Lepisosteus oculatus: one gene and its partners. The protein of the gene in region 4 interacts with the protein of the main gene of each other region in a biochemical or structural test. Links are inferred from orthologs where the notes say so. Each region holds a gene or a part of one and is shown on either strand. Other genes may lie near its edges. The genes, in order: jam3b, kirrel1a, jam2a and tjp1a.

Region 1 (7,287 bases), on a different chromosome or scaffold from region 4:
TTCAAGAAGAATTAAATCTTAAACAACAATAGAAGCAGTAACCTCCACAGTGTCATAACAAACATAACGAAACCCAGAAACAGCTTCATCTTTAATTCCTTTTCCCTGGCAGGAAAAATACATAAAAATGGCACAGCACAGCAGGGAAGCTCTTTCGGCTATTGAATCTTAAGTTATGAGCACATGGCCAAAGTATTTCAGACTCAGTAACTATATTTAAAAAAAATATTTTAGAGTGTCTAACACAATAGCTCTTGATACCCACAATGGACACATTTCTGCAAAATTACTGTTAGCAACAACGTGGGCTTGCTTTTCCACACGCCATGTTTGAAGACAGATCAGCAGAAACTGTGCTGCAAAAGGATTTTTTCACTGTTGAAACATTTTTTTTTAAAAAGGAACCCGTCAATATTGTTTTAGTTTAAAGTTTAAGTTTAAAGTGGGCTTTTCATGCCTACATTATTTTGATCATTGAAGTTAGAAAAGAAGCTTCTAGCCCCATTTGTAAAGCATGATAATTCTTTTTAAAATGATAATATCTTCAAAGGTTATTTTAAGAGATGCAAAGCAAGCAGGAAAAGAAAGTCATGCCAAACAACTGCTGAATCATTGATCTACTTGTAGATATTGTATTTAATTTTTCAGGCTATTTGAATGTCCCTAATTGAATATAGGGTACAACATTTAAATGAACATTGAGAGTTGTTTTCAAACTCCTACAAAACACATACAAATTTGTATTACTGTTTAAAGTTTGCAGGTTTTCAAATATCTATACATATTTGTTATAGATAAAAATATAAACATATTTAGCTTCAATGAGCACTGAGTTGACTTCCCTGTTAATGTCTGAGTTATCCTTTCACTCAGCCTTCATTAGTGCTATAAATGGGTAGACTACCCTAAAGAGTATCTGCACAATACTGAAATGACAGATGTACAGTAATTAACAAGCACCAGCTGATTACACTGGTAGTTGTAGTAAAAACAATATTTCCTACACACGACCCACGCTGCTTCGTTTAGGTAGTCCAATGACACAGATCATCAGCTTCTTCGTTATTGCATTGCTTGGTGTGTCGAGACGTTAATTACGAGGTGATAACGAGGCAAGAACCAACATTTCTGTTTAGCGGCATCAACACACAGAGTTAGGGACTGTAATGCACAAGAAATTTTCATGCCACTGATGTTGTTGCTTATTAAGCAGCAAGATAACCCACTTCGCGGCAAGCAAATTAAAGTGACGCATTTGGTATGTTATGCTGTTTTTTTCTTCATGAAAGTCAAAGCTAGAAAGCCCTCAAGAATAACATTTTCACTCTTGTAAATATGCACAGTAGGCTTTTCAGAATCAGCATAGCCCTGCTAGAGAGAGGTATAATCAGTTGATTGAGTTTTCATCTCTCCTTCTAATTCTGTTAAAGGCGTGGGTGGCATTTATAGATGGGACTACCTACAGTACAGTTACCCGCTCCGATTAACAGCTGCACTGAAGAATCAGAGCTAAAAGTATTTTAAAGCACACGACCTCAAGATACAGTATGTTTATGAAGCCGCAACACTTAAACTTTACACTATTTACAGTGAGAAGCTGTACTTCAGGGACACCTTGGTGCGTTGTTTACATTTATTCTTCTAATGCTATTGAAACACCTATTCCTTCTAAACTCATAATAAACTACAAAACAGAATAAACAAGGCAAACTACTGTGTTGCCCGTCACTGTGATCTGCAATAATAATCAGAACCACCACCACAACAACAACAATAGTGAGTGAAAAATATTTACATTGTATTTCATAATATTTCAATATTATATTAGTAATATTTTAATGATATTTTTATATTGCATTACAAATGCCACATGATTTGCCACAATACAAAAAAACAACACAGATCTCTGCGGGGCGGAGTGACTGAAATGGACTGAAACAGCCTGCTGTCGCACCGGCCACGCTGTTGTCTGATCACGCATGCCGGCTCTGGCTCAGTCCTGCTGTCTCACAGAGCGGCGGTGGGGCAGTGCGGCGGTGCGGGAGCGGTGCGCCCAGGCGCCGACCCCCGCCGGACCGCGGACCGTCCCCTCCAGCCAGCGCTCCCGACCGCACGGCCGTTATCCTGCATCCCTCGCACCAACTTTTCTCCCACTTCTCTCTCTCTTTCTCTCAACTCCCAAGTTTTATCCGTGTACTCCGCGTATCCCGGCTTCAAAACACGCGTGAAAATGTCCCAGCTTGAGCTCTCTCTAACCACGCAGTCACCGATATTCGCCAAATACGTCTTGCTACCAATCACCCGACAAAACTTTTTTTGGGGGGGGGGTCGTCGTCGTAGCTGAGGTTCCCCAGAAAACAGACGGCGAAACACCCGTCTCACATCCGGACTTCAGAGTTTATATATATATACTGTATATTAAGTTAAGAAGCAAGCAAACGCCACCTTTACTTTTTTTTTCCGACCCAAAGATTTCAAAATGTAACGTACAGCTCAGAGCAGATATTTATTCTTCGCCTTTGGGAAAGCATATTAATAATAAGAGCCAGGGTGTCCCGTTATCTCGCGAATATTGCTTGAACGGTACAGTATGTACCGTTATCTTCCCCCAAACCCAAAGCTGCAATAAAGACAGCTTTTATCACTGCACACTTGCGTTGCTCTTCAGCTTTGCAGCAGAATAGGTAGCTAATTGTAACAACAATAAAACAATAAGCAGCCCACGTTGAGTTCATCTGATTTAAAAAAAAAAGCTCTATAGCTGGGTCTTTCTAGCTGTTCTTGTACCAATTTCGTGTAGCTGCGGATAATGGAAACGCACACCCCACAGAGAAAGGACGGTAAAGTTCAGAGGGGAAAAGAAGAAAATAACGTTACAGCTCAATACATGAAACAGCCCATTTCTGCATAGACTCACAGTGTGCAGAGAAGAGGATCGCAAATCCTGCCAGCCTTGCTTTCGCCATCTTGTTGAGTTGCTCAATGGATTATCTGCCCGTACATGCGCAAAATAGAGGGGGTAGCTTTCAGATGATAGGGAGGACCACTGGAGAGAGGGAGGGGAGAGTCTGTTGTCGAGAGTTTCCATAGCTACACGCATCGTTTTTAAGGACAGCCTTTCCCCAAAATTTACTTTTTTTCCCCTCCCAAACAGGATTAGTGGTTTTTACCGTTACAGTTCTTGATTTTCGTCTTATAGTTGTGCTGTAAATTATTTAGACGACATTTCTCACGAACTGGCTGATGAAAGGTTTTTTTAGGGGGCTTACAGGACATTTTCTTAAAGTCAAGTATTAACCTCTTCCTGCGGGAATATTTTTCTCGCCCGCAGTTATGTTTCAAAGGTCTAAAAAAGTGGCAGGCTCTTTACATTTATATAGATGCCTAGCGGATCTCACTAACCTAGTTCATAGCTTAATCTTCATAATCTTCATATTATGGACCAGAGAGTGTACATCAAGCTTATTTTATTGTTTCGATCAATTCTTATTGGACAGCACCTCAGAAATGTAAGGTGTGTGATCTTTTCCCAATTATAATTCTTCTTCAATAAACTACTTTAATCAATAGTTTTCAATTATTTGTTTTGATGTTTAATTTCTGCTGAAACAATGACACAGTAGACAGATAAGCACATTACCCAAAGATATATAATCACTTCTAATTATATCAAGGTAGTATAATTTTTAGTACTCTTACTGTCATAATATAGAAGATAGAAACTGTATACAGTATATGAGATTCATTTCACCCCCAGAGTTAAATGGTGTCGGCCTTAAACTGCAACCAGCAATAGACTCAGGCACACTGTGCCTAAGCAATAATTTGACTTGTCTTCAAATAATGCCAGACTGGAAAAAAATCCATATTCCAGGGATGAAGTGATGAGCAATATCTTTCAATATCTATTCTGTCCCATTGTATTTTTGAAAGGCTCTTTGAATCTCACATGGATTTAATCTCCACACAGCCACTAGCACAATAAAATGATAAAATTCTGTATGCAGAACACATTCTTTATATAATCTTGTACAAGATGTGTTTTAAAAACCTGCAGGACCTACAGTCCTTGTGTTTTATGGATCTGTCAGTGAAAAAGCAGCATCACCTGTGTATCTTTCCTCTTCAGTGTCCTACATTTGTTCAGCTTGCTGTAAATATACTTCTTGTGTCGGATTCAGCACTTTTAGTCATTTTGAGTGTTTATCTATGTCAATGTTCCAGCAGAAAATAAAAAAAGGAGAAAGTAAAAAGAAAAAAGAAAATTCTATGTTTGAATGTCACACCTTTAATCAAAACTATTGATCAAAGCTTGTAGAAGAAGAAAGGTTTTACATGGGAATAGATCACACACCCAACATGTTTTAGATGCTGACCAATGAGAACTGATCAAAACAATAAAATATGCAAATAATGACGCACATGCTCTAGTCAATAATTGAAGAACAAAGCAATATTTTAACCAGATTAGTGAGATCTAACACAAATGTACAGTACAACAGTACTGTATATCATGTTCATAGACCATTAAAACCAAGCTGCAGTGAAGACATCAAGAGTTCTTGGGCAGGAACTTGGTGAGAAATGTACTGTAGTCTCTCTCATTACAGTAAAACTTAAATGTCTGTCTTGTGCTGCGACACATTTAATTTTCTTATATTATGTTCTGGGTTCTTTTGCCCTGCAACACAGATTTTACCATCTCTTTAGCTACCTGTTAAAAAATTTAAACTGCTTCCATACAACGTCCTAATGACAGATGTGATAAGAATACTAAGAAAAAAGAATTTCTTGCTCTTAAAAAATTAATTAAGCATGTCCACCAAAGTAAGTTGTCTGTACCAGCTTTTTATTTCTGTCATTGGGATCTGGAGTCTTTTTCAATATTTCTTCTTTTAACTTCAGTTTATTAACATATATTCTGCAAGGAATAAGGTACTGTAGATATCAATTTCATTATTGGACTGATTGTTCAGAGCTGTCACTGATCTATTACTTGATTCAATTTTGGAGGAAATCCAGCACTGAGAAGAATAGCTGCTCAATCTTGCTCTAATGGCAGTTTATAGAAATGACTTATGTTGGCATACTCTGGGGATATTTCATTTAAGACTGTGATGTAAAATATTTTAGTATGGTAGGTTTTGCCATCAGTCTCACTCCGGTTTTGCTTCCAGCATTCATGATTGGTTTGGCAGGGGCCTGCTGTTTTCTTAAGCTGGTACTTTGAATTATTGCCTGCATTGCATTTCATTATTTTCTTGCAACACAGATTCTGTTTGTTTTGTAACTTTTGCTTTGACCACTGAGCTCACTAGTTTTCACAATATTATGTTCAGTATACAGTATACAGTTGTTTTTTTTTACATTTTGCCTTTGAAATATTTTCCGGAATGGCACACCTGTGACTTCAAACAAGACCTATACTTCATTTCAGGAAGCGCTATTTTACTGATTTAAAAAATAGCTCTGTTAAATCCAGATCATGAAATGTTTTGATTAAACTTTGATGATATGGTCCAGTGATAGAGAAATAAAACTAAAAATGTAAATATACTACGACTTATTAAAATAGACATGAGTGAGTGATAACGTTATTAGTTGAATTAAACAGGTACGTATGCAGTCTTCAGTTCTTATAAACTGTAGAAAGGGTCTTTGCCAGAGCAGGTAAAAAACAGTTTTTTGTTGCATGCTGGGAAAAGTATGCTTGCATAAACGAACACACTTTCCTTGTGGGAAAAAAATTCAAAAAGCCTCAAAATGAAAGGTGTAGTGGCTTCTTCAGAGCTCGCACCATGGGAAGGCTAACAACTGCAGATCTTAATCTGTCGACACAGCACAGGGCTGATGACACAGTGTCCCGAGAAATGCTCCAACTTTCTCAGGCTTAGGAAAACCTCTCTGTGACACAAGTTATCTGCACAGACACGGTGGGTGGCATCTGAGTGAGAGGGGCATCTGTTGGCCTGAGGCAAGGATCGACAGAGAAATTCAAAAACATTGAAGGGAGAGTGGCAGTGGGGAGAATGAGGATGGTGTCAGCAGGGGAGAAGCAGAGGGAGAGGAGTCACAAAGAAAACTCACATGAGAAACAAAACTGCAAAGGACTGGGTAATTAAGTGCTCGTGAAGTGAACCTAAATGCCATTTATCATTAGGAACAAAATCCAAGAAGAAGAAGGGGCTGCCTTAGTGTGTGACTTAACTGGAATCACGAAACTTTCTGCTAACAGAATGGCAATGAATACAGCATGAGTGGATACGCAGCGTTCAGAAGATGAGGCAGCTGAAAAAGGTGAAGACGATGGCACTGCTCAACAAAATAGCATCAAAGGACAAGGAACTAACCCAGATCAGTAGTTTCAGCGCTGAGCCTGCTGAAAGCCTGTCTGCTGATTTCAGGTCCAGCTGACCTCTTACTCACTGATAACTAGCACCTTTAATGTATCTGTTTCTCCTGCAGAGGATCGGCTGGTCATGTCTGAGATATTGTGCTGGCAGATAGTGTGCTGGCAGAGTCCAAAACCAAGTTTACAATTTCAGGAAAGCAGACAATGAAGAAATGAGATATGATAAAATAGATATTGAGATCCAGAGAAAGGATGCCCACAGTTTAAATACTGTATATTCTGCTTCAAGCATAAAGAAGGAACAAAATGAACTTAATGCACTGGTAAAAAGGATTTTTAAAAAGGTCAAGAGAGAAATAGAAAATAATATTGTAATGGAGGCTGTAATAAAATCAGAAAAAGTTTTCAATATTACAGAGGCAAAAGCAAAATAAAGAATGAGGTGTCTCTGAGATAAAAATGAGAAACCGTAAAAACAATAAGAAGGAAATGGTTTATATATATTAAGGTGTTTATTGAGGTGTTTACTAAGAAAGAAAATGCCAACATGCCACAGACTGAAGGAATCTAAATCGAAATCTGTCTATTAAATAATATTAGTATGGAAGAAAGTCACTCACTAGAAACCTTTGTAAAAGTAAATCATCAGAGCCTCCACAGGAGGTAGCAGTTCACAGTTGTACTTACTTAATGAAAGTATAAAGGAAGCAATGATATTCATAGACTGTTAATCAAACTTTTCCAACAGTTGCTCAAGACACACACTGATTGGAATTGTTAATGTTGCATCCAGCCATCCAAAGAGTGACAAAACCAAATCAAGTAATTAAAGATCAATTAGTTTTACTTCTATTGTTGTAAAATTCTGAACATGTTAATTCAAACTAAACTAGAAAATTACTTGCATGGATAGTCAGTGTCTAGGGTTACTCAGC
Region 2 (7,150 bases), on a different chromosome or scaffold from region 4:
TCTGCTACAAGACTGGGGATATCAGAGCTCTCACGTACTGGAGCTCTCAGGCACGCCAGGCACTGCAGTTTGACTGGCTGTCCCTGTGTGGAAGCCCTTTCTCCATGGGGCAGAGCCCTGGCTCTGTGGCTAAGGATCTGCAGCTGTGACTGGAAGGTTGCCAGTTCAAATCCCACGGCCGGCGGGGGAATCCTACTCCGTCGAGTCCCTGAGCAAGGCCCTTAACCAGGGGTGCCGTATAAGTGGCTGACCCTGCACTCTGACCCCAAGCTTCTCTCACCCTGTCTGTGTGTCTCATGGAGAGCAAGCTGGGGTATGTGAACAGACACTAATGCAAGAGATTGTATATGGCTAATAAAGCGATCTTATCTTAAGCAATACTGTTTCCTCCCTCAGAGCGTACCCGTACAGCAGTAACTATCTTTCCCTCCCCCTAGGGTGTTAACTTTATTTTTCATTCTGGCTGAACTCTGAACAACTGCATCCAACTCCTGATGCCTCTGTCCATTTTCGAACTGCTTCATCCAACTGAGAGTCACGGGGGAGCCAGAGTCTATCCTGGCAAGCAATGGGCGCAAGGCAGGATACACCCTGGACAGGACGCCAGTCCATCACTGGGCGCACACACACACTCACGCCAGGGCCAGCTTTATAGTGGAGCAGGTCAAGGTTGATTTCACGCTGAACAGAATGGAATAAACCTTCACTTGTTCCTTTGCTGCCTACACATGCTGACACTGCTCCCTCCTTGAACGTCTTCAACCCGATTTCATAGAAGCCAATTAACCCTCTACCATGTCTTTGGACTGTGGGAGGAAAGCAGAGCTCCCTGAGGAAACCCCAGCAAACCGAGGGAGAACATGCAAACTCCACACAGACAGCACCCCAGGTATGGAACTGAGCCCAGGGCCCCAGCAATGTCATCCATGCCCTGCCACATTTGATCAAAACTGCCTTCCGATCCCATTCTCAATTTGCTTGCTTTTGATTGCCTGCAACGATTTTTTTTTCTAGCGTTGCCAGTGAGCTACAACACAACTGCCAAGATCTGTGGCTCTCCGGTACAGATATCTCCAATCAAAGGCAAAGAGACCTACCGAAACTGAGCCAGGAGGATGCAGGTTCATCTTGTTGTAAGCGAGGTGGAAACAGAAGGGCTAATTAAGAGCCAATTATGTAACCAGCCCAGCTGAAAACTCCGCTGTAACCTCTCTCCTATCTGAGCCTTAGGTAATAGGAGCCAATTAGCTACACTTTGCCTAGCCTGCAAGGAAGAGACTTCTTAAATAATAGCGTGCATTGCTCGCCTTATCCACAGCCTGAGACAATGCCTGAAATTCACCTGCTGGGTTTCTCAAATCCTTCGGCTGTTCGGTGGAGAAACCTCAGCACATCTGCAGCAGAAATCTGCCGGCAGCCCAAATGCCGTCTTTAAAGACACCGAAGGAGATGGCGGATGGTGTGCCCAAGACTGACTTGGGACAACTTGAAAAAGAGCTTATAAAACTTAAAACGACAGTCTTTTTAAGTTATTTTACGCCTGCAGATGTGGAGGAAACGGGCGAGCTCGATGCACAGTAGACTGCCTCGGCACCAAACAGATTTCGGCAGCCAACCCTAATTCTTATATTCACGTACACAATAATACATCGTTTATTTTGACTGGGGAAGGGGTGATGGAGCTGGTATTGCAGACCATGTACGAAAGGTGTATTTAATACTACCATAAGGTTTTGAAACCCATTTCTGTCTTAGAAGATCAGGCGTCCATAACAGGTATCATTAGATAAAGCACAAATCGATATACTAATGAACACATAGTTTGACAATCAGTCGGCGGGTAGAATATACTCCTCTACTGTCAGCCACGCTTTGTCGATATTTCTAACCTTTAGCGCCTGCTGAATGAACAGATAAGCAATGAGACGCAATCCATTTCAACCCCCCCCCCCAAAGATGAAAGATTTAAAAATTCACATGATACATCGCCGAGTCATGAATGAATACCAGCGGGGCTCTGACACTCACAAATCAGATTGTGGCGTTGACAAATAAACAAAAACATTCAAACAGGTCCTACGCAATGCTGCCGCGGACTAGCGCCGTTAGCTGAATCGCGAAGGCAATTCGAATTCGCAATGGCAGAGTGAGGGGTTTTCAGGCGTCGAGTCCTTGGCGTGTCGTCTTTTTTTTTTTTTAAGAAAACGAGACATCTCCGGGCTCGCAAAGTCATCGTCTCGTTTAACGACGCGAAATCTCAAACTAGCGGGGTGATGTCGAATTGCCCCCCCGACTGGTCTCGCCGTATGCCCCTCAGAAACAGTTTCGCCAAATGGAATGCTGCACGATACAGGCTTTATCAGTCGCTTCGGTTTCTTTGTAGGAAAAACGTTATGTGCCCACAGAAACAAAGTCAAATCCACGCAAAAAGTATCACTGGCTAAATATGGCAATGCCCACAAACTTTTATTATACTCGCGTTTTAAACGGCGGAGTTTTTCTTTAAAAAAAAAAGCCTTAGTCTTACCTTTTTGTAGACTGGGAGCGAAAGTTATAATCCATAAGAGTAGCATGGCTTTATTTGGGTCATGAAGTTCCATAAAATGCCCCTCAATCCTCAGTCCGCTTGCTCTCCGCTTTGAAGTAGAAACTGCATCAAGTCCCATTTGTTTGTATTTCCCTTCGCCTTTAACGGGCCCTCGTCGCTGATAACGGGGAGGTTTTTTTTTTCCCAGTTCAAGGAATCTGCGTCGCAAACTTAGAACTCCTCGACTCCGCTACTCCCCCAATCCCAGCCTCTGCGAAACTGCTCGCTGGCGCTCCGTTTCTCCCTCTCCCTGTCTCCCTCTCTCTCTCCCTCTCTCAATCTCAGTTTTGTGTTTTCCAAGAAAAAAAAGGGGGGCTCATTGTGCTTTCTAGAGGCGTTATTCGGTATTGCAGAAGGAAAAGACGCGTGTCTGTGCCCCAGCTATGTGTTCCGAGTTCGCCTCGGGCGGTTTTGTTGTCACGGCACAGCTAACAGCCGCAAAACGACGATTTTTTTCCATTTTTTTTTTATAAGGGGAAAAAGAACGTTCGCCCCACCTTTTTTTTTATGAAACGCGGCCTCTGGAGTTGACACCGGCATGAAAAATTATATTCTTTATTCCCTCCCCTAGCGAAAAAAAAAAAAACAGAAGCAAACAATTTCTTTGAGATCATCCAGTATGTTATTTTCGGGGTTGGCTCGATACTTGTCGATTTAGCGTGTTTGTCAACGCGCATGAAAAGAGTTCAATCTGGAAAATAAAACGCGAAACTAGACAAAACATTTATTAATGATGCTTGTACGTTCTTTGTCAAAATCCATAACAGCTACAGGCACACGAGGCTTGAGTTAAACCAAATGTTATTTTTTTCCCTCCAAAATTAAACTTTATTTTTACTGCTGCAACGTCTTGTGTGTTCGGTGACAACTCCACTGTAAAGCACGGCGAATCCCACAGAAATCGCGTCAGAAACCTAAGGCACAGGAATCTGGCCATGGCCCCGTGAAAGTGCAGGGCCAACACGCGTGTCCCGTCGTGAACGCCGCGCAAATTGCCCGCAGTAGGAATGCGGAAGGAGTCTCGCCCAATTAGGAAGATTATTGTTGTTGACTGCCTACGCCAACATTTCTGCTGGCCTTCTTGGTCGCTGGTTCCCTACCCCCCAACCCTGGTCCCAGGCGAGCGCTGTCTTTATCTGTTTTTGGTTCCAGTTGGGTTGTTAATCAGTGGAACTGACGGATGCCTTTTAATTGATCTGCCTGGTTATTTAGCGTTTAGCTCACCGGCTTCTGCAGTCAGTCCTAGGTTTTAAAAATACCGGCTTCCTTTTATCAAAAGCTGGAGCCTACAGAACGATGCAATCTCCGCTCGGCTTTTCTTCCTAATGTCTGACTTAACAGCTCTTCATGAGCGATCAATTAACAAAGAGCAGACACAGGTGGGAATGTGGGAATGTGTGTGTGTGTGACTATCACACACTTCAACAATTTGCAATCATTATCTTTTCTGAAGAATCCCAATTAGATATATTTCCCCATTGACAAGTCTAAGTCAAGGAAATTCAGAACCTCAGGCTAATGACAATGGCAAACCCCATTCAACATTTCAGGAGCTGAAACCCAATTTGAAACTATATGCCACACACAGAAAACAGAAACCAATTAGCCAGCAAATACGAACTTGACTGAAGTCAAACATGTACCGTGAGACACCCGAGGACCTGAGGACCCCAGAACCAGTTCTGGGGACCAGTGTTGCTCCATGTCTGGTTACTTTCGGAGCCCTTTTACACTGCTCTGTGATAGATCCTCTTAAAATTGTCAAGTGTGCAGACAACACCCAAACGATTACCCAACACGACAGAAGCAGCAAGTGAAATTCAAAAAGATTAAGATAAAATCCAAGACCGGGCAAATTTAACATTAAAAGTGCGGAAAACTACGTGCTGGTAGCGAAAAAATATATATATTTTGGACGCTTTGGTCACATAATGGGTCATGCTTAATTTGAATAGGACACAAATTCGGTTGACAAGTTATTGAAATCTCCAAGTCAAAGTGGGGAATCAGATAGGACGGCCAACAAAAAATACCTAGTTGAAAGCTCAGAATCAAAGCACGTTATGGTAATTTGGGGAACCCCCCAGTCAGATCTCACTTCGAATATTGTGAAGCAAATTTGCTTACCAGACTTTCAAACATTATTAATATGGAATCAGTCCAGGGAATAGCAACCACACACTGAACATCCCAGAGCCCGAAACAGTGTCCTACGTGGACAAGCTAAAGGAGCTGAATGTTTCCAGCCTTTGATAAAGACTCATGAGATGATCTGCTGGTCGTCTTTAAAAGTCCTCAGGGGCACCGAGATATCCTCCGAATCAACAGTGAAACACCAGCAGACACAGACGAACCACGTCCGTTCCCCCGGACAACTAACGTCTGTCGAACGTGATAAATATGCCAATGTTGATGAATTATGGTGAACGCTAGTTTCTCGACCACTTCCACGATTTCTTGTGTGGGATTTAGGCTCGCGGGAGTCATTTGGGAGAGGAGGGTGTGAAAGAACTGGCAGTTTTGTTTTGTGTAACTTTGAACCCAAATGACGGCTTCGCGTGAAAGCGCGATAATATGTTGGCAGAAAAAAAATCAACAAATATAATGTGAAAACAAGTTTCGTAAACTCGATGATTAAATTCCTGGAATCGTCAGGGCTAGGAAGTGGAAGAGTAAGTAAGAATTCTTACTTACTTTTCTGTAAGTAAGAATTCCATTGTACCAGCACCGGTTACATATGGCAATAAAGTTCTAGTCAAGTCAAGAGCACGGCGCAACCGCGCGTCTTGAAATACGCAATTTGAATGTCTAAATTTGTAGCGATTTCTATGGGCAAAGGCTCTTGTGGGAAACGGAGACCACTACTTGGCAAACATTTATTGTAGAGAAACAACACGTATACCTTGACAAAAAAAAATATCGACATTTCTAAAATCTGATGTCATTGTGTCAATCATCCTAACCTTCAAAATGAGCTAACGGTGTCAGGAATATTTCTAGCACCATCGTCGTCATCATCATCATCATCATCATCACAGCCAACAACAATACTATTACTACGAATAATAATATTAATGATAGTATTATTAGTAATAATAGGTTAAAAAACGCTCTGAGACACAGAAAGGATGGTTTTTATCTCCCTCTCGTGGCCATTTAATTTTCAGAGCACACCGTAACATTCATGAAAAAAAACGAGACTCAGATTTATGCCGTGAGATAATCGAGTTGCAGACAAAGCTCTTGGCACCCATTTGCTAAAACAAGGCTGTTCGACAGCTTATCAATATGGCCTGGCACAAACGTTCTCATTCATAAAAAAATCTTTACACGTCTTAATGACTCATTCATTCCAGCGAGCAGCGTGGCTAAGATTTGTTTTACAGCACCAAGTGTGATCACCCTCTGCTCATCCTCAGTGAACCATATATTCTCATATGCCATGTTCTCAATGCCCCCATTTAAAATTGCTGTATTAAAATGTATTGTAAACTGCAGGATTTTGAGACTTTTAATGATCAGAAGGCAAGGTCGTGGTAAATATGCAGAAAGTGCCGGTGAATTCACGTTTTGCCTTTGTCTTATTTGCTCATGTCTAACATGCCCGTTTGTGTTTTGAAAATTGGGTATCGCTTTTCTGAATTTGTGTTTCATACCAAAATGCAAATTTGGACAGTCACTATTCACTTACATATTCCCCTTTACTGAGGATACGTACAGTAATCCATCTGGATGAGGACGTTTAAAAATGACTGTAGGGAACCACCTACAGGCGAAAGGTGGCATAACATCACAGCCGCAGCATTTAAGGTGGAACGAAAAACGCGAAGAAACCAACTGCAGCCTCGTGGAGAACGACAGCACCTAACAAACTATGTAATTCATGTCAGTATTTTACGGGGTGATTTAGCTATAGGAGGTCAGCCATGATTTGACTCTGTTTCAAGCCACAGAGCCTTAGCAGAGACTTTAGGGCTTTGCAGTGCTTGATGTTCCTCAGACCACACCGGCTCTCGGGTTCCTGCTCTCCCCGTAACAGCGAGGATCTCGTCGGGCCGGTGTGGTCTAGCTCCCCGTGAGCTCTGTCTCTCGCTGACCCACCTGACTCCCCCTTAGCCGACCTGGACCGATTACTCTAGAATTCCCTATATAGCGAATTTGGCTTCACACCGGTTCTTTAATTACCTCGTTCCTGCGTGCATGTGAAGTGTCTGACCAGCGCCCTCTGGTGGCTAATTCCTTTAACTGACACTCCAGATCTTGTTGCTCTATTATAATTATTAATAATAATTGCTTACACTTATATAGCGCTTTTCTGGACAATCCACTCAAAGCGCTTTACAGGTAATGGAGACTCCCTCCCAACACCACCAATGTGCAGCCCCACCTGGATGATGCGACGGCAGCCAGTACTCTCACCACACATCAGCTATTAGTGGGGAGCAGAGCAGTTCAGAGATGGGGATTATTAGGAGGCCATGAGTGGTAAGAGCCAATGGGAAATTTGGCCAGGATGCCGGGATTACACCCCTACTCTTTTCGAGGAAAGCCCTGGGATTTTTA
Region 3 (7,176 bases), on a different chromosome or scaffold from region 4:
ACTCTGTTGGTTGTGTGCCCTGCATGGACTGGCATCCTGTCCAGGGTGTATCCCTCCTTGTTACTTGCCGAGATAGGCTACGGCTTCCCTGCTATCAAGCACTGGATAAAGCATTTAGAAAATGGATGAATGGGTGTTGCCTTACATATTGTTTTATTAGACAGGCCTACAGAAAATTGTTAGTTTTACACCTTTTTCACGGGTGATGGGGGAGACACGTACATAGGATAATGATTCTGCTACAATGAGTCTAGAATTCAAAGGGAAAATAATTATGTGTGGTGAAACTACACAGCGTGTGCCTTGAACGTAGCCGAGATTCAGTTGTTTTTTTTTTTCTGACGAGTCGTTCACAAAAGGCTCTTCAGGAGACGAGCTCTGGCCAGTGTCCACCTCGATTCTGCAGTCTAACGGCATCGGACACAACTTTGCAGCCTCACCAGGCCAGAAGCCCAGATGCAGAGCACATAGTCTCGCAGGTCCCACAAGACCTTAAAGGGTAAGGAAAAGTATTTCACTTCCACCCACAACGGATATGTGACTTGTAATAGACAAGTACAAGACCAATATGACATCAGTCAAAAAGGCCACATTCAGCAGACGGGTCAGGCCTATAAAGATGTGACAAGTGACTCAAACTTCCTTCCCATTTCAGTTCTAAATTCCAACTTGGCAGCTCCAAATCCACAACACTGTGGTCACTGCCCAGACTTTCCACAAACGTGCAGCCCTGCCACACAGAACAGACACACAGGACTCCTTCCAGACATGTCCTGGGGGACACATGGCAGAAACCCAATTCCGGACAGGATTCAGCAGCCTACAGTTCTAACACATTCCTGCTGATATGGCAGGGGTCTCCTGCTGTAAGACAAATCTTCGAGGGCTTTTTTGGGGGGGGGGCGGGGGAGAATGCAAACAGTTTTCCCCTTGTCTTGTTTTGTTGCTCTCTGCCCGAATGCGACTCCAAACTGTCCTGGAGTCACTAGCCTGATGGCCCAGCTGGGACGTGTCAGGTGGTCCACTCCCCCACCCCCCTGTCCAGGCAGAACAAAGCCGGCCTGTGTCCGTAAGGTAATCCACACCACACTCCTCTCACCCCGGGTCTGAGGGGAGCCGCAGCTGCTGGCAGAGAACTGCACCAATTCGGCATGCATCCACCGAGTGTCGCCCCGGGTCCGGGTCTCCTCGGTCACCGGGGGAATTTCCATAGTGACCGCTGCTACAGTCTGCCTCAGCCCTGTTGGGACTGGAAGTGCTGTTTACGGAACACAAGACACAAGAGTGTGTCCTTCCCTGACAGCCACTCCACACGCTGGAACCTTGACCTGACTCTCTCGAACGTCAGTCACTCTGGATTTAACATTTGTATCTTCTCTGGAACACACAGCTACACTGACCTTGAAAACATAAGAACGCGTTTGTGGGAACTACCTAGCTAAAACAGGGACTTGACTTGGACCGAGCCTGAATTAGCACCTCTGACTTCTCCCCGTGAGGCGAACTCTGAGGGACACTTCAGTGGGCAGAGATTAAGACTGGGCCAAAACTGACAAACCGAAGAGGCGCGACAAACAGGTTGAGACCAACGGCCCACCTTGCCTGTTTGATTGTGAGGAGCTCTGATCTCATCCAGTTGTTTCTTGAAGGAAACCAGGGCAGCTTGTGTCAGACCCTTTAAATACAGTAGGTGATCGTTCTTTGCCAGCGTGCAAAGAACAGCTACATATTATATAGATATTGCTCGCCATGCAACACATGACCTCTTTCGGCATCCAGACTGACACTTTTGAACAACGTGCCTCAGCAGCTTTTCACAAGTAAGTTTCGATGGCGGACTGACTAAAATGCAGCAGATGCAGAGTACATCACTAACACACCAGGGAGCCGGAGTCCCAGGAAAGTTACATACCTGTGCACACGACACACGGACAAACACCATGCTGTCAACTGTGCTACACAACACCACTGTGCAGTCATACAGTCTGGATAACACACAAAGAGTAATTTACTACAACTAATAAATGACACAGTGGACCAGTAGGTGGAGCTCTTCCCCTCTCGACTACAAACCCCAGAACGATGCCCAGGAATCTCATGCTATAAGAGCCGACGTTCTTTGGTGGAGACAATTAAACGGTGGTCCTGCCAGCTTGAGTATTAATGATCCTGCTCGTAAGAGAAGGTATGTTCACCCCATAGTCCTGGGTTAAATTCCACTCTGGCCTCCCCAAATCTTTCCTTCGTGGTGACGCGATTTCTCCACCTGATCTGCAGTGCGACTCCCCATCCACTATGCAAAGCACTTACGGGAAAATGCATAATACGGCTCTCTCTTTGAGGCAGCCCTGTGTGTCAACTGGACTTCATGAACAAAGACGGAACGCTGTTTTTTGTTCTCAGAGGACCACAATACAATCTCAGAAGAGAGAAACTACGTAGACAAACTGCAGATCTGGACTTGAGAGAAAATCACGGGAAAGTTTGCCTTTGTTTGGAAAGTGACGCCGAAGATACTGATACGCAACATCTCCTGGCCATGAGCTCCGAATAACGGGGTAGAAGGAGCGGCACGCGTTGGAATCAAGATTTCCGTAAAAGAATGAACTCGAATAAGAAGAAAGAGAATAATTAGTAATCATTGTTACTCACAGTGCTGCAAGAGTAGAAAAGCTGAGAGATAAACCAGTTGCAAACTCGCCATCTTCACAGAGTTCGTTTAAAACAGACTTCTCCCGTAATTTAGCTAAATGTGCTGAAAGTTAATAAATATGCAGAACTCTTTGGTGTGAAAAGAAACAATGAAAACGAACTAATCTTCCTCCTATAGCTGACCGAGTCTGAAATCCCGGCTTCTTTATCCCACAAGTTTATTTTCGGGTTCCCTCCGGAGTAAGGTTCGCCGCGTTTGCGAGTGACCCGAGCAGTCCTGGGGGCGCACTCTCCCTTTCTCCGGCGTCCGTCTGTCAGCGGTGGGGTGTTACTGTGGAGTAGACCCTGCCCGCAGCTCTCTCAACTGTTTCTCCCGGGTTGGGGGCGGGGGGCGTAGGAGGGCTCCACAGGGTCCTAGTGATCGTAAAACTTAACCCCATCAAAGCAATCCTGTGGATCACGTAGTTTTTTTTTTTTCCGAGATGATCTTCTACGGCAATTTCCTGATTTCCAGAAGTATCAACACTTGGACCCAGAGCCGGGCAGGTTTGTAGTGTAAGTTGTAGTGTTGACATCAAACAGGTGTGTTTCGCTGTCGGTGGTTATTGTGGGGTGACATCACGCCTTTGGGAGTATTGTACAGTATACGGTGCTCTATATGTATGATGTATGTACAGTATGGTGATACTGTAAAATGAAGAACGATTCGCCTGTGCCAAAAAACAAACAAACATGGCTCTGGAATAGCTAAACATTTTTAACTCCAAAAAATGTACCCTCTTTGAACCCTTCCAATCTGGTTTCAGACAATTACACAGCATAGAAACTGCTCTGGTTAAAGTCATTAACGATCTTCTTATGGCTACTGATTCCGTTTCTCTATTTGTATTCTCCTAAACCTCACTGCTGCTATCGCCACTATTAACCATGGCTTCTACTTTCTAGTCTTGAGACTGTGTTTTGGAGTTTCTGACATTGCTCTCAAATGGTTCCACTCTTACCTTTTGATCGCTGACATTCTTTTCTTTCTCTTGGGGGTTTCAGTTGTGAAGTCGGGTTCGTTAAGTTTGTCTGCTATTCAGCATCTACATGTTCCCACTAGGTCAGATACTAAGATCACATGGTCCTAAAAATCAATTCGTAATTCATGATAAATTACTAAAATCTATGTCCATAGTAAACCTGACAGTGAAGTAGCTGTTTCTTCCCTCTCTAATTTCATCTCTGATATGCAGTAAGAACCTGGATGACTCAAAATTCCCCTCTCTTAAACTCATACAAGACTGAGGTCATGGTATTCAGCATCACCTATTACCTACATAAACAGATGTAGTAACCCTATCTGTGGATGGCACTGTGCTTGAATTTCAATCTAAATTTAAGAATATAGCAGTGACTTTTGATCCTCATGTGCAGAATATTCATCCATCTCAGATATAGTGCCAGATTATGTCCTGTTATCTTTGACTATTGCAGAAAAGCTCATTAACACATTTCTTTCCAAGAAGTTATTACTGTAACGCCCTACTTGCTGGGGTACCTAGTTACAGTGCCTTGCGAAAGTATTCGGCCCCCTTGAACTTTTCAACCTTTTGCCACATTTCAGGCTTCAAACATAAAGATATAATTTTTTTTATTTTATGTGAAGAATCACCAACAAGTGGGACACAATTGTGAAGTGGAACGAAATCTATTGGATTTTTGAAACTTTTTTAACTAATAAAAAAATGAAAAGTGGGGCGTGCAAAATTATTCGGCCCCCTTGCGTTAATACTTTGTAGAGCCACCTTTTGCTGCGATTACAGCTGCAAGTCGCTTGGGGTATGTCTCTATCAGTTTTGCACATCGAGAGACTGAAATTCTTGCCCATTCTTCCTTGCAAAACAGCTCGAGCTCAGTGAGGTTGGATGGAGAGCGTTTGTGAACAGCAGTTTTCAGCTCTTTCCACAGATTCTCGATTGGATTCAGGTCTGGACTTTGACTTGGCCATTCAAACACCTGGATACGTTTATTTGTGAACCATTCCTTTGTAGATTTTGCTGTATGTTTGGGATCATTGTCTTGTTGGAAGATAAATCTCCGTCCCAGTTTCAGGTCTTTTGCAGACTCCAACAGGTTTTCATCCAGAATGGTCCTGTATTTGGCTGCATCCATCTTCCCCTCAATTTTAACCATCTTCCCTGTCCCTGCTGAAGAAAAGCAGGCCCAAACCATGATGCTGCCACCACCATGTTTGACAGTGGGGATGGTGTGTTAAGGGTGATGAGCTGTGTTGCTTTTACGCCAAACATATCGTTTTGCATTGTGGCCAAAAAGTTCGATTTTGGTTTCATCTGACCAGAGCACCTTCTTCCACATGTTTGGGGTGTCTCCCAGGTGGCTTGTGGCAAACTTTAGACGAGACTTTTTATGGATATCTTTGAGAAATGGCTTTCTTCTTGCCACTCTTCCATAAAGGCCAGATTTGTGCAGTGTAAGACTGATTGTTGTCCTATGGACAGACTCTCCCACCTCAGCTGTAGTTCTCTGCAGTTCATCCAGAGTGATCATGGGCCTCTTGGCTGCATCTCTGATCAGTCTTCTCCTTGTCTGAGCTGAAAGTTTAGAGGGACGGCCAGGTGTTGGTAGATTTGCAGTGGTTTGATACTCCTTCCATTTCAAGATGATCGCTTGCACAGTGCTCCTTGGGATGTTTGAAGCTTGGGAAATCTTTTTGTATCCAAATCCGGCTTTAAACTTCTCCACAACAGTATTACGGACCTGCCTGGTGTGTTCCTTGGTCTTCATGATGCTCTCTGCGCTTTCAACAGAACCTTGAGACTATCACAGAGCAGGTGCATTTATACAGAGACTTGATTACACACAGGTGGATTCTATTTATCACCATCAGTCATTTAGGACAACATTGGATCATTCAGAGATCCTCGCTGAACTTCTGGAGTGAGTTTGCTGCACTGAAAGTAAAGGGGCCGAATAATTTTGCACGCCCCACTTTTCATTTTTTTATTAGTTAAAAAAGTTTCAAAAATCCAATAGATTTCGTTCCACTTCACAATTGTGTCCCACTTGTTGGTGATTCTTCACATAAAATAAAAAAATTATATCTTTATGTTTGAAGCCTGAAATGTGGCAAAAGGTTGAAAAGTTCAAGGGGGCCGAATACTTTCGCAAGGCACTGTATATATTCACTTCTGGAGTCCTTGCTTTCTATCACATTTCGAGCTGATGTAAAAATCCTCACGCTCACCTTTAAGGCTGTCTCGTAATGGTTCGGCACCTCAGTACCTATCTGACTTATTATCTGTCTACTACCCACCTCACAACCTTCATTCATCTGACTTTGGTCTTCTATATGTCCCCAATCACATTTACATTCTATGGGGGACAGGGCCTTCTCCTGCTATGTCCCAAGGCTCTGGAATTCTATCCCCAAGGAAATCCGAGAATCACCTTCCCTGAGCACTTTCAAATCCAGACACAGGACCTTCTTTTTAAGGAAGGTTTTTATTTAAATTAGTGTCTGTGTCTGCTCCATAATGTAATGATTAAGTATCTTCTGCTGAACTGTTGAGCACTTGTCTTTCTTATAAGGATTTTTTTAAATTTGTATCCTGAATTAACTGTTTTCTTTTGCTGTAACTGTTTTAAAACCTACTGTAAAGTGCTTTGAGATGCTACTTTCAAAGGCATTATATAAATAAAATTTATTATTAGTAGTATACAGTGTAATGAAAATAGTATGTAGTATATTATGCTTGCTTAGGACTGTGCTGCACTATGATAGTATGACACAGCACATGATATATGATGTAGAACAGTGCAGAACGGCGCAATACATATACAAGTACAATATAGTATAGAACTATTATTATAGTACTATGTAATATAGAAATATTGTTACAAATGAGGGGGTTATGAAAATGGTGAAAATCAGGAATCGACCAAGTGAATTAGTCAATAAGTAAAATAAATAATCATAACCCCCGAAATGTAAGTGATTTTCCAGAATATATGTGAGTGGCTGGTATAATTAGAGGCACGTGAACTCTTTGTAATTTTGGCACAGCTTTGGTGAAAAGAGCAATAATCCAGGCACACTTGGTTAAACTAATATTTATTAACAATTACAAGACAAACACTAGAGGCACAACAAACATGCAACATTCAAGCTCCTATATGTACAGTATTTACAGACAAGGTGTTTCAGAGGCCTAAAATCCTGATCACCCAGAAAACCACAGACTGCTACAAAGTATTGAACTCTTAAATAAAACCCACAGAGAGGCACAGTAAGAGTTACAGTACATCTTCCTCTCTGCAAATCTGGATGCCACAAAATAAATGGGAGCCCTTCTCCCTATTCTACAAATGCGCCCACAGCAGGGAATACGTCTTTAACCAAGGTATCTTTTACTCAGGAAACCCAAGTTCCCGAAAAACACAGAACAGCATGCTCTCTCTAGCAAGGGTCAAATACTGAGCTCCAGTCAGGTTTGGTTTGGATGATCATGAAGCAGGGGCTCT
Region 4 (7,342 bases):
ATTATTTCTCATGACCCGTCTACGTTTGTGTGATACCAGTGGTGAAGACAGAATTTCATCACGATAAGAGTCTTTCTATCTTCAAAGACCACTGAGTGTAAGGCATACTGCTCAAGATCTGATTTTGAACATTATATGCAGTATGTTTATGTACAGTGTGTAGACATACAGAAATCGATGTGACAAGCGTAAAGGAAATTAAAATCTCCCCTCCACCCTTAGTGCACTTTATTGAGGCACAGCAGAGTGACCTTACTCAGTTGCGTTGGCTGTCAATTTGCCTTCATTGTGCCTTGGAAGGATTGGCTTGTTTTTGGAGAAGTAGCTCATTCACTTTACCCACCCTGGTTTCTACTCTAGAACAACAAGGCTGCATTGATGTACAAAGGACTCCTTTATTGCAGTAGAGTGCTGAGACCTGATGAACTCACTCTTCTGGTGACCTGATCTGGACACACCTCAAGTTAAAGACTGTAAAAAGCCTGCTGAATAGTAATCTGCCCAGTTAGGAATATGAACCATTAAAAATAGGGGATCAGAATGAGCAGCAGAGGAGGGATGTGCTAATTTAAAAATAAAAACAACTCATGACAAAAATTGATTTAAAAATAATAAATATAAAGAAAGAAAATATGACCACCAACATTTAAGGTCTGCTGCTGGGATAGCCATTTTAATTTTGTTTTGAACAAAGTAATGTGGATGCTGTTAATCACCCAATAACATAAAAGCTCATAGTCAAAGCCCATTGTATATACTGTATGCGATCACATAACATAATGACTGCATTTGCAAAAGTCCTTGATGTGTGATCAAATACTGGTAATATATTTCTTTGTTGGTAACAATCAGATCATTACATGTTGTTAGGGGAGAATTCACGCATCATTTAACAACGGCCACATTATGCTGCAAACTGGAAACAGACATCTGGACATACATTATTGGAAGCTGACATACAATAGGCTTTCTAGTTTAGACCCACTCACAGCAGAATCTGCTAGCCTCTCATTATTCCTTAAGAATATTTTAGAACCTAAAATAAACTTTATCCAAACCTGTGTTAAGACCCAGGGGCTCCTACAGAAACAGTGTCACAATGATAAATCTGTCAACGTTTGCTCCTGATCAGAAATGACAGGCTCCTGTGAGGACCCACATCTCACGAATTTCCCAACAGTCCTTGGGAAATCAGCCTTCCAGACCTTTTCTTTCATATTCTACTTCTTTATCCTGGATATTTGATCACAGATATTATTTAAGATATGCCTGCATAAAACCTGTTGGTCATACTGTATGTATCAGATCACCTGTCAGTATTTTCTGTACACAGAATAATTACACTTGAAATTTCACCTTTAAACAATATGTTCTTGTGAGAAACATTACATTTTATAATAGAATTTTGTCTACAGAAATAATTTGTAATAATGATTCTCATTTTACAGAAATACACTAAAAATACACTAAAAAATGCACCAAAATAAATGATTAAATGATTAAATGATTAGATTAAACATTTGGAAATGGTAAATTATACCAAACATAAAAAACAACAGCAAATGTCAATTTGTTAAGCGAAAAGCATTTCTTCCCACAACTGTGTGATCATTCTAGATTAGTGAGTATGACTCATACAGTTGTTTTTTTAAATACAAGAATTATTATGCTTAGCATGTATTATAATGTTTACTGTAGATATAGCTATATACATAGATAGATGACAACTATAAAATTATTATTGTAATGCTTTAATAAAGAGACTAGTGAGTGTGCAGTCCAAGAACTGTTTCACTTTATTTAACCTTTGAAACTAAATAAAAATAGCAAATGAAGAAAAACACTAGAATTTTTTTATGCCATATTTTATTCAGATTAACTTAATACAGAATGAATTAATATTTTAAGACAGCAGTGCATTATAATTTCCTTTCAACTTAACGATATGCCTGCATTTTAAACACGTATTTAATAAAGAATAACATTTCAATGCAAGTGTATATACACAGGTACATATACAATTGATTTATGTTATGGAAAATATTAATGTGCAGATATAATTGATACAAAGAATTGATCATTACATTAAAATGGAATGCTATTCTACTTCTATTGTGTGATTTTCAAATAACCATCCACCTTATTAGAAACAATTACTGCATTTCCTAGCCAGAATGTACAGCGTTATGCAGAAATAACAATTTTCCTAACATTCCATTTTAATAATAAAAATAGAAGAATGATATCATGCATGCTAGTTGCTAATAAAGGGCAGTGCCTGCTCAGATCCCCCACGCAGACAAACACACTGCCTTCTGCATGTAGACCTCCAGATCTGTGCAATTAAAACAATTGCAGCACGAAACAGAAAGGCAGGCTCGTGTCTGCATCTTATCCAAACAAAAGATGATAGAGTCGCCTTCCCCGACAAAGCTAACAAGCCAATTCTGCAGTGTGAATGGAGCACAATGGCAGTGTGCATCCCTCTCATCATTAGATAACACTGATACGGCCAGTATATTTCTCCCCGGCAGCATCCCATATTTATCCCCTGAAATGCATACTCACCACATCCGTCTTTTATAAGGAAGGAGGTTGTTTCTGTTGGAGGCAGTCACTCCCAAAGCCATCTGCAGAACAGTCAGATATTTCTGATATTTCATTTTGTCCACCGCTTCTACAATTCCACACCACAAGCCAGCGTAGGTAATCATGCAATTTTTATTCCCTGGCATCCGCCTCTTCTGCGTCTCCCTTGCTCAGCATCAGAACGCCATTTCCAGCATAGAGGAACTGACAGGACAAACACTCCCCAAGGAGCTCAACAAAAGGTGCCACGCTGTAGCGCCCCATGTCAACAATGACACTTTAATCTCATTAGCTCTCAGAATAGATTGCTAATCCATTCAATTACAGGCAGGACCTGAACATTGTTTTTTCGCTCCCAGCACTTTTGCTGAAACTCTCGCAATGCCGCGGCGCTGAACGTCCGTGCGTGAGGTAGGCGAAAGAGAGAGAGGGAGAAAAGATGCAAATGAATAATGTAAAGACCTTTCTTTTTTTCTTTTTCCCCCCCGCCCCACCCCACACACTCCCACCGCAGAAGATGCTCCTGGACAGAAGAGCGCTTGTGTCCTTTTTGGAAAATTAAAAAAAAAAAACAGAAGCAGCTGGTATTTAATTGGTGAGCACGTGCTGGGTCTCCCGAACTGAACTGCTCGCCGCTTGGGAGAAGAAGCAGCGAGCAGAGATGCAACTGAAACCTATCAGAGTTCCCACTTGTTAAGGCATCCACATGTTGACTGAGCTGTGCTGCATCCAGCCGGCGGCTTAAGCACAATAAACATGAAAATAAAGGGAACACAAACTGTACCCCATTCACCACCAGCAGGGGGTAGCACTCCTGACTGGAGAGTCAAATTCCTGGAGCACAAACAAACCTGCATCAAATGCTACACTCTTCAGGGTGTGTGCTCTATTCTTAGCTCCCTTAAAATGGGGAAACAGTATCAACACTGAGAAACAAAAACACAATTCTGTGCCATTTCATCAATGGCCACCAGCTAACCCTTTCGCAATCTGCTTAGTGCTCTCAAACAACCCTTATTTAAATGTGCAGGGCTGTAAACATGGTACAGCAGAGCTGCTCCATAGAAACACAGGCTGAGAGCTGTGAGCTGTGCTAATTGGAAAGAACACTGAGGTCCAGGTACTTTTTTGTTCTTTTTGTTCTACCGCAAAAAAAGGAATGATGAAGGAAAAAGGGAGGAGGCTAATCTGACTTGTAAAATGGATTCCTTTCAAACATGAAAATATATGCGTGAATGTGTGCGACTACAAAAAATACATTTCAGGGGCTAGACATAAATTAATAGACACAATCTCTGCCTTAGGAAAACAGTGACGTGCTCTTGCGCTTCGATACTGAGTCAGACATCTGCATTAACTAATTTACACGTCCGACTTCAAATCGCTGTTGACGGATCCAACAGTGGATTGTGAGATTACCAAGCCAATTACATCTAAGACCAAAATGTTTTTTTTTACGTTAGTAAGGGTACCAATCCCCTCTTCCAATCAGATCAGTTGCAAAACCTGTGCAGAAGTCGTGTTACAGCAACACCACACTGTATCTAAATCTGGTTAGACCTCAGCAGCTGAGGAAGGGTGCTGCTGTAAATGGTGTTGGGACACTCCTCCCTCTGGACCATAAAATGCAAATCAATGCCCAAGTGTAGTCCTTCAGATGAGCTGTTAAACGGAAGCTGTGCCTACTCGGTCTTCAGAACACCCAGGACACTGTTTGTAAGAGTGGGCATGTTTACCCCGGCTAATTCCACTTTGGATTTGCACAATCTGATCTTCCCGATTATTTTCTCCTTAATTGACTTGGTGGAGTATTTTCTCACTTCCCCACCTGATTTGCAGTGCAGCCGGGCTGCTGGAGCAGAGTGGATGACGTGGATCCCCCTTCTGCATGTGAAGTGCTTTGGGATCTCTTTTTGGAAAAGCACGATATAATTCCAAGAGAGAAAATAATGAAACCTGTTCTTCCTATTTCTTTAATCAGGTCCAGGGTGCCTAGAAGAAGAGAATCATCCACAGCCTCAGAGGGCGACAAACCAGAATCAACGACTGAAATCTACAAAGAACTCTTTTCAGAAAAGCAGATAGAGGTGGAAGCAGGCAATGCTTTTCTGGAGAGGCTCAAAGCAAGAGTGCCAGAGGAGGTGAGGGAGGACTTGGAGGGCCCGATTACGGCGGAGGAGCCGAAGTAGGCGCTTTGGTCCATATAGAATGGCAAAGTGCCAGGGCCGGACAGACTCCCCAAGGAATTCTACACCTGCTTCTGGCAGATCTGGTGGAGGTGGAACAGGAGATCTCCACCAGTGAAAACCTGGAGACACCCATGAGGGTATGCGTCATCTCCCTACTCTTCAAGGGGAGGACACCGCAGACCTCAAGAACTGGAGGCTGATCACGATGTTCTGCATGGATGTCAAGATCCTGTCCATGCTACTGGCCAGCAGACTGAGGCACGCCCTGCCCCACATCATCAAGAACAAACAGACGTTAGGAAGAGGATGGAAGGGAGATCAGTCAGCTGGAATCTCCAGCTCCGCAGGGACACATTCGCCTGGGCCGAGGACCGGACTCTCCTCCAGCACAACGCAGAGTGGGGAGTGGAGGAGAGGACCCTTGTGGACCTCAGAGGGAGGATGAAGCGCTACGTTGCCAAATAGGGCTTCTCCACAACGAGGGAGCGCTGGAAAGGACTTTGGGCCCTGTACAGGGAAAAAAGTGCAAATCCCTGTTTGCTGAGCTCCTACTTCGTAGTTTCAGAGTCAGGACAGGGAAATGGACAAAAGCAAGTGGTAGGGCTTGAAGGGACTCTTTCATTGTGCAAATCCAGCCCAATCATCCACTTGCACTGATTGATAAAGTAAGAATTCCATTTTACCAGTACATGTACCGGTTACATATGGCAGTAAAGTTCAAGTTCAAGGTTCCGGCACAACTACCTGGACCTGGTCTCCAGCCACATGGGCTGCTCACATTATATAAACTGTACATATATTTAAAGTGCGTATATATATATATGTACTGATAACAACCAACATCTGTGTAAACATTTTGTGCTTAACATTTTCTATGTTGTAGCTTCTGCAGTTTGAGATTAGGTGGAGATTTCCTTAGGCTGCAACCATCTCAAGCAATTCATTTCCTGCCTGTCATAAATCATATGGTTCTGCCCCATAGCATGATTAATAATCATTTGCAACACAAAGATTATATCTGTAGTTATTACATTTAAGCGATCTTGCACTTTGGGATGAATTGTAAAGAAACGTTTTTTTTCTAATCAATACAGTACAAAACAATAGTGTATAGCTGTAATAATCCTGTCACTTGGTTATTGCAGACAACTACAGCCTAGTTTCCCTATGAAAGGAAGAGTGGAAGACTGAATAGGTTTATTCTCACAAGTGATATCTCTTTAGATTTCACAGCATTTTAAATAATGTTGTAACGCATATGGCCGCTTTTGCAGGTTGTGTGAGCCGGCTTACCAGTGCGGTGACGTCAGCCCACCCCTGTGAAGCAGGACCGCAGCTGCCGGGCTGAGGGGAGATTTCCCTTTAGCTCAACTGGCTGCGCGTTCGAGTCCCCAGCAGTTGGGGACCGACCTGAGGCGGCAGCAGCAAGGGCGCATACCCACATGAACCCGAGAGTGCTACAATATTTATAAGGTAGATGTTGTCAGCTATATAGACACTTACTCATAAAAAACACCATAAGCCTGTAAGATGTTCCTTATTAAATCAATATACTGTATCCAGTATGCCCATGTCACCAGCCATAGTACAGATGTGCCATCCTGATGTGCTGTAAAGACACAGCTAATAAGGAAACAGCCCCTGGCTGCTAAATGTGACAAAATTAAGCTAAGAGAGTTAGAAGATGTTTCTGCTTTCTAGGGTTGTAAAAATGGTCAAAGCCAATCATATACAGTATGACATAACAGATACTGACAATAATAGGTTTCAGAGGTTTCAAAATAATAGAAAAATTAACGGATAATGATGGGAAAAAACATACAGGTTATACCTTTGTCCAAAATACCCTGAACCAAATCTTTAATCTTAATCCTGTGCAACACACAAACAGTGGGCAACTGACAAAGTTCAAGCAGAAATTCGCTCTGTGCCATGTTCTTTCTAACTGCAGCTTTTGCTCCAGGTCAAAATAAATAAAATGCTATCAAGCTCAAATTTCTCAGGACAACCTTTCTTTTTAAATGCTCCTTCACTCCAATATTTCAGAAGCTGGTCTACCAACTAATCCTCCTCCACTGCGCCCTTTTTGGCCCAGGGATAACAGTTCCATCTTCACTGTGCTCCCCTTTACACACACCACTGCTTTCACAGAGCCCATGCGAACGCAGATTATATTTTAGCACTCCTCAAGTATATTTATTGGGTTATATGCAAGTCAATGGACACTGCCCCCACTGCGGGCTAAAGCTGTCCCTGGAGCCCCTGCAGACCTGGGGTTTTACTGGACAGGTCTTGGCACGTTGTGGGCAGACGTTTATTAACCATTCTGTTCAAAAACACAGAACCTGACGCCAGAGCCCGATGGGATGTCAGTGAATCTTGAATCCTTGCAAAACTCCTGTCACTTTCTCCTGGTCTTAGAATCTAACGTCTGACTTTATGATCATTATTTCTTTCACGCATATCGATGATGGCAACAGAAATCTAGTTTGTCAAAAATCTTGACCCCTAGCCAAAGCAGAAAGCATGTACAGTACATGCTCCAAACCGGCAATGAATTTATA

The links.
Region 1: the proteins of tjp1a (region 4) and jam3b form a complex in vitro, tested with the Homo sapiens proteins (2 studies listed by BioGRID and IntAct, with this or other methods). The link is inferred for Lepisosteus oculatus from reciprocal best matches to the Homo sapiens genes TJP1 and JAM3.
Region 2: the proteins of tjp1a (region 4) and kirrel1a form a complex in vitro, tested with the Homo sapiens proteins (3 studies listed by BioGRID and IntAct, with this or other methods). The link is inferred for Lepisosteus oculatus from reciprocal best matches to the Homo sapiens genes TJP1 and KIRREL1.
Region 3: the proteins of tjp1a (region 4) and jam2a form a complex in vitro, tested with the Homo sapiens proteins (2 studies listed by BioGRID and IntAct, with this or other methods). The link is inferred for Lepisosteus oculatus from reciprocal best matches to the Homo sapiens genes TJP1 and JAM2.

Annotation. Positions count from the first base shown.
Region 1 is NC_090718.1:7,930,964-7,938,250, forward strand, and holds the start of jam3b (junctional adhesion molecule 3B), read right to left. Parts: upstream 3,021-7,287; 5' UTR 2,967-3,020; coding exon 2,918-2,966; intron 1-2,917. UniProt on the Homo sapiens protein: Junctional adhesion protein that mediates heterotypic cell-cell interactions with its cognate receptor JAM2 to regulate different cellular processes. Plays a role in homing and mobilization of hematopoietic stem and progenitor cells within the bone marrow.
Region 2 is NC_090699.1:8,109,169-8,116,318, forward strand, and holds the start of kirrel1a (kin of IRRE-like protein 1a), read right to left. Parts: upstream 3,024-7,150; 5' UTR 2,667-3,023; coding exon 2,528-2,666; intron 1-2,527. UniProt on the Homo sapiens protein: Required for proper function of the glomerular filtration barrier. It is involved in the maintenance of a stable podocyte architecture with interdigitating foot processes connected by specialized cell-cell junctions, known as the slit diaphragm.
Region 3 is NC_090708.1:26,495,854-26,503,029, reverse strand, and holds the start of jam2a (junctional adhesion molecule 2A), read right to left. Parts: upstream 3,013-7,176; 5' UTR 2,705-3,012; coding exon 2,653-2,704; intron 1-2,652. UniProt on the Homo sapiens protein: Junctional adhesion protein that mediates heterotypic cell-cell interactions with its cognate receptor JAM3 to regulate different cellular processes. Plays a role in homing and mobilization of hematopoietic stem and progenitor cells within the bone marrow.
Region 4 is NC_090700.1:47,025,054-47,032,395, forward strand, and holds the start of tjp1a (tight junction protein ZO-1), read right to left. Parts: upstream 3,005-7,342; 5' UTR 2,736-3,004; coding exon 2,569-2,735; intron 1-2,568. UniProt on the Homo sapiens protein: TJP1, TJP2, and TJP3 are closely related scaffolding proteins that link tight junction (TJ) transmembrane proteins such as claudins, junctional adhesion molecules, and occludin to the actin cytoskeleton.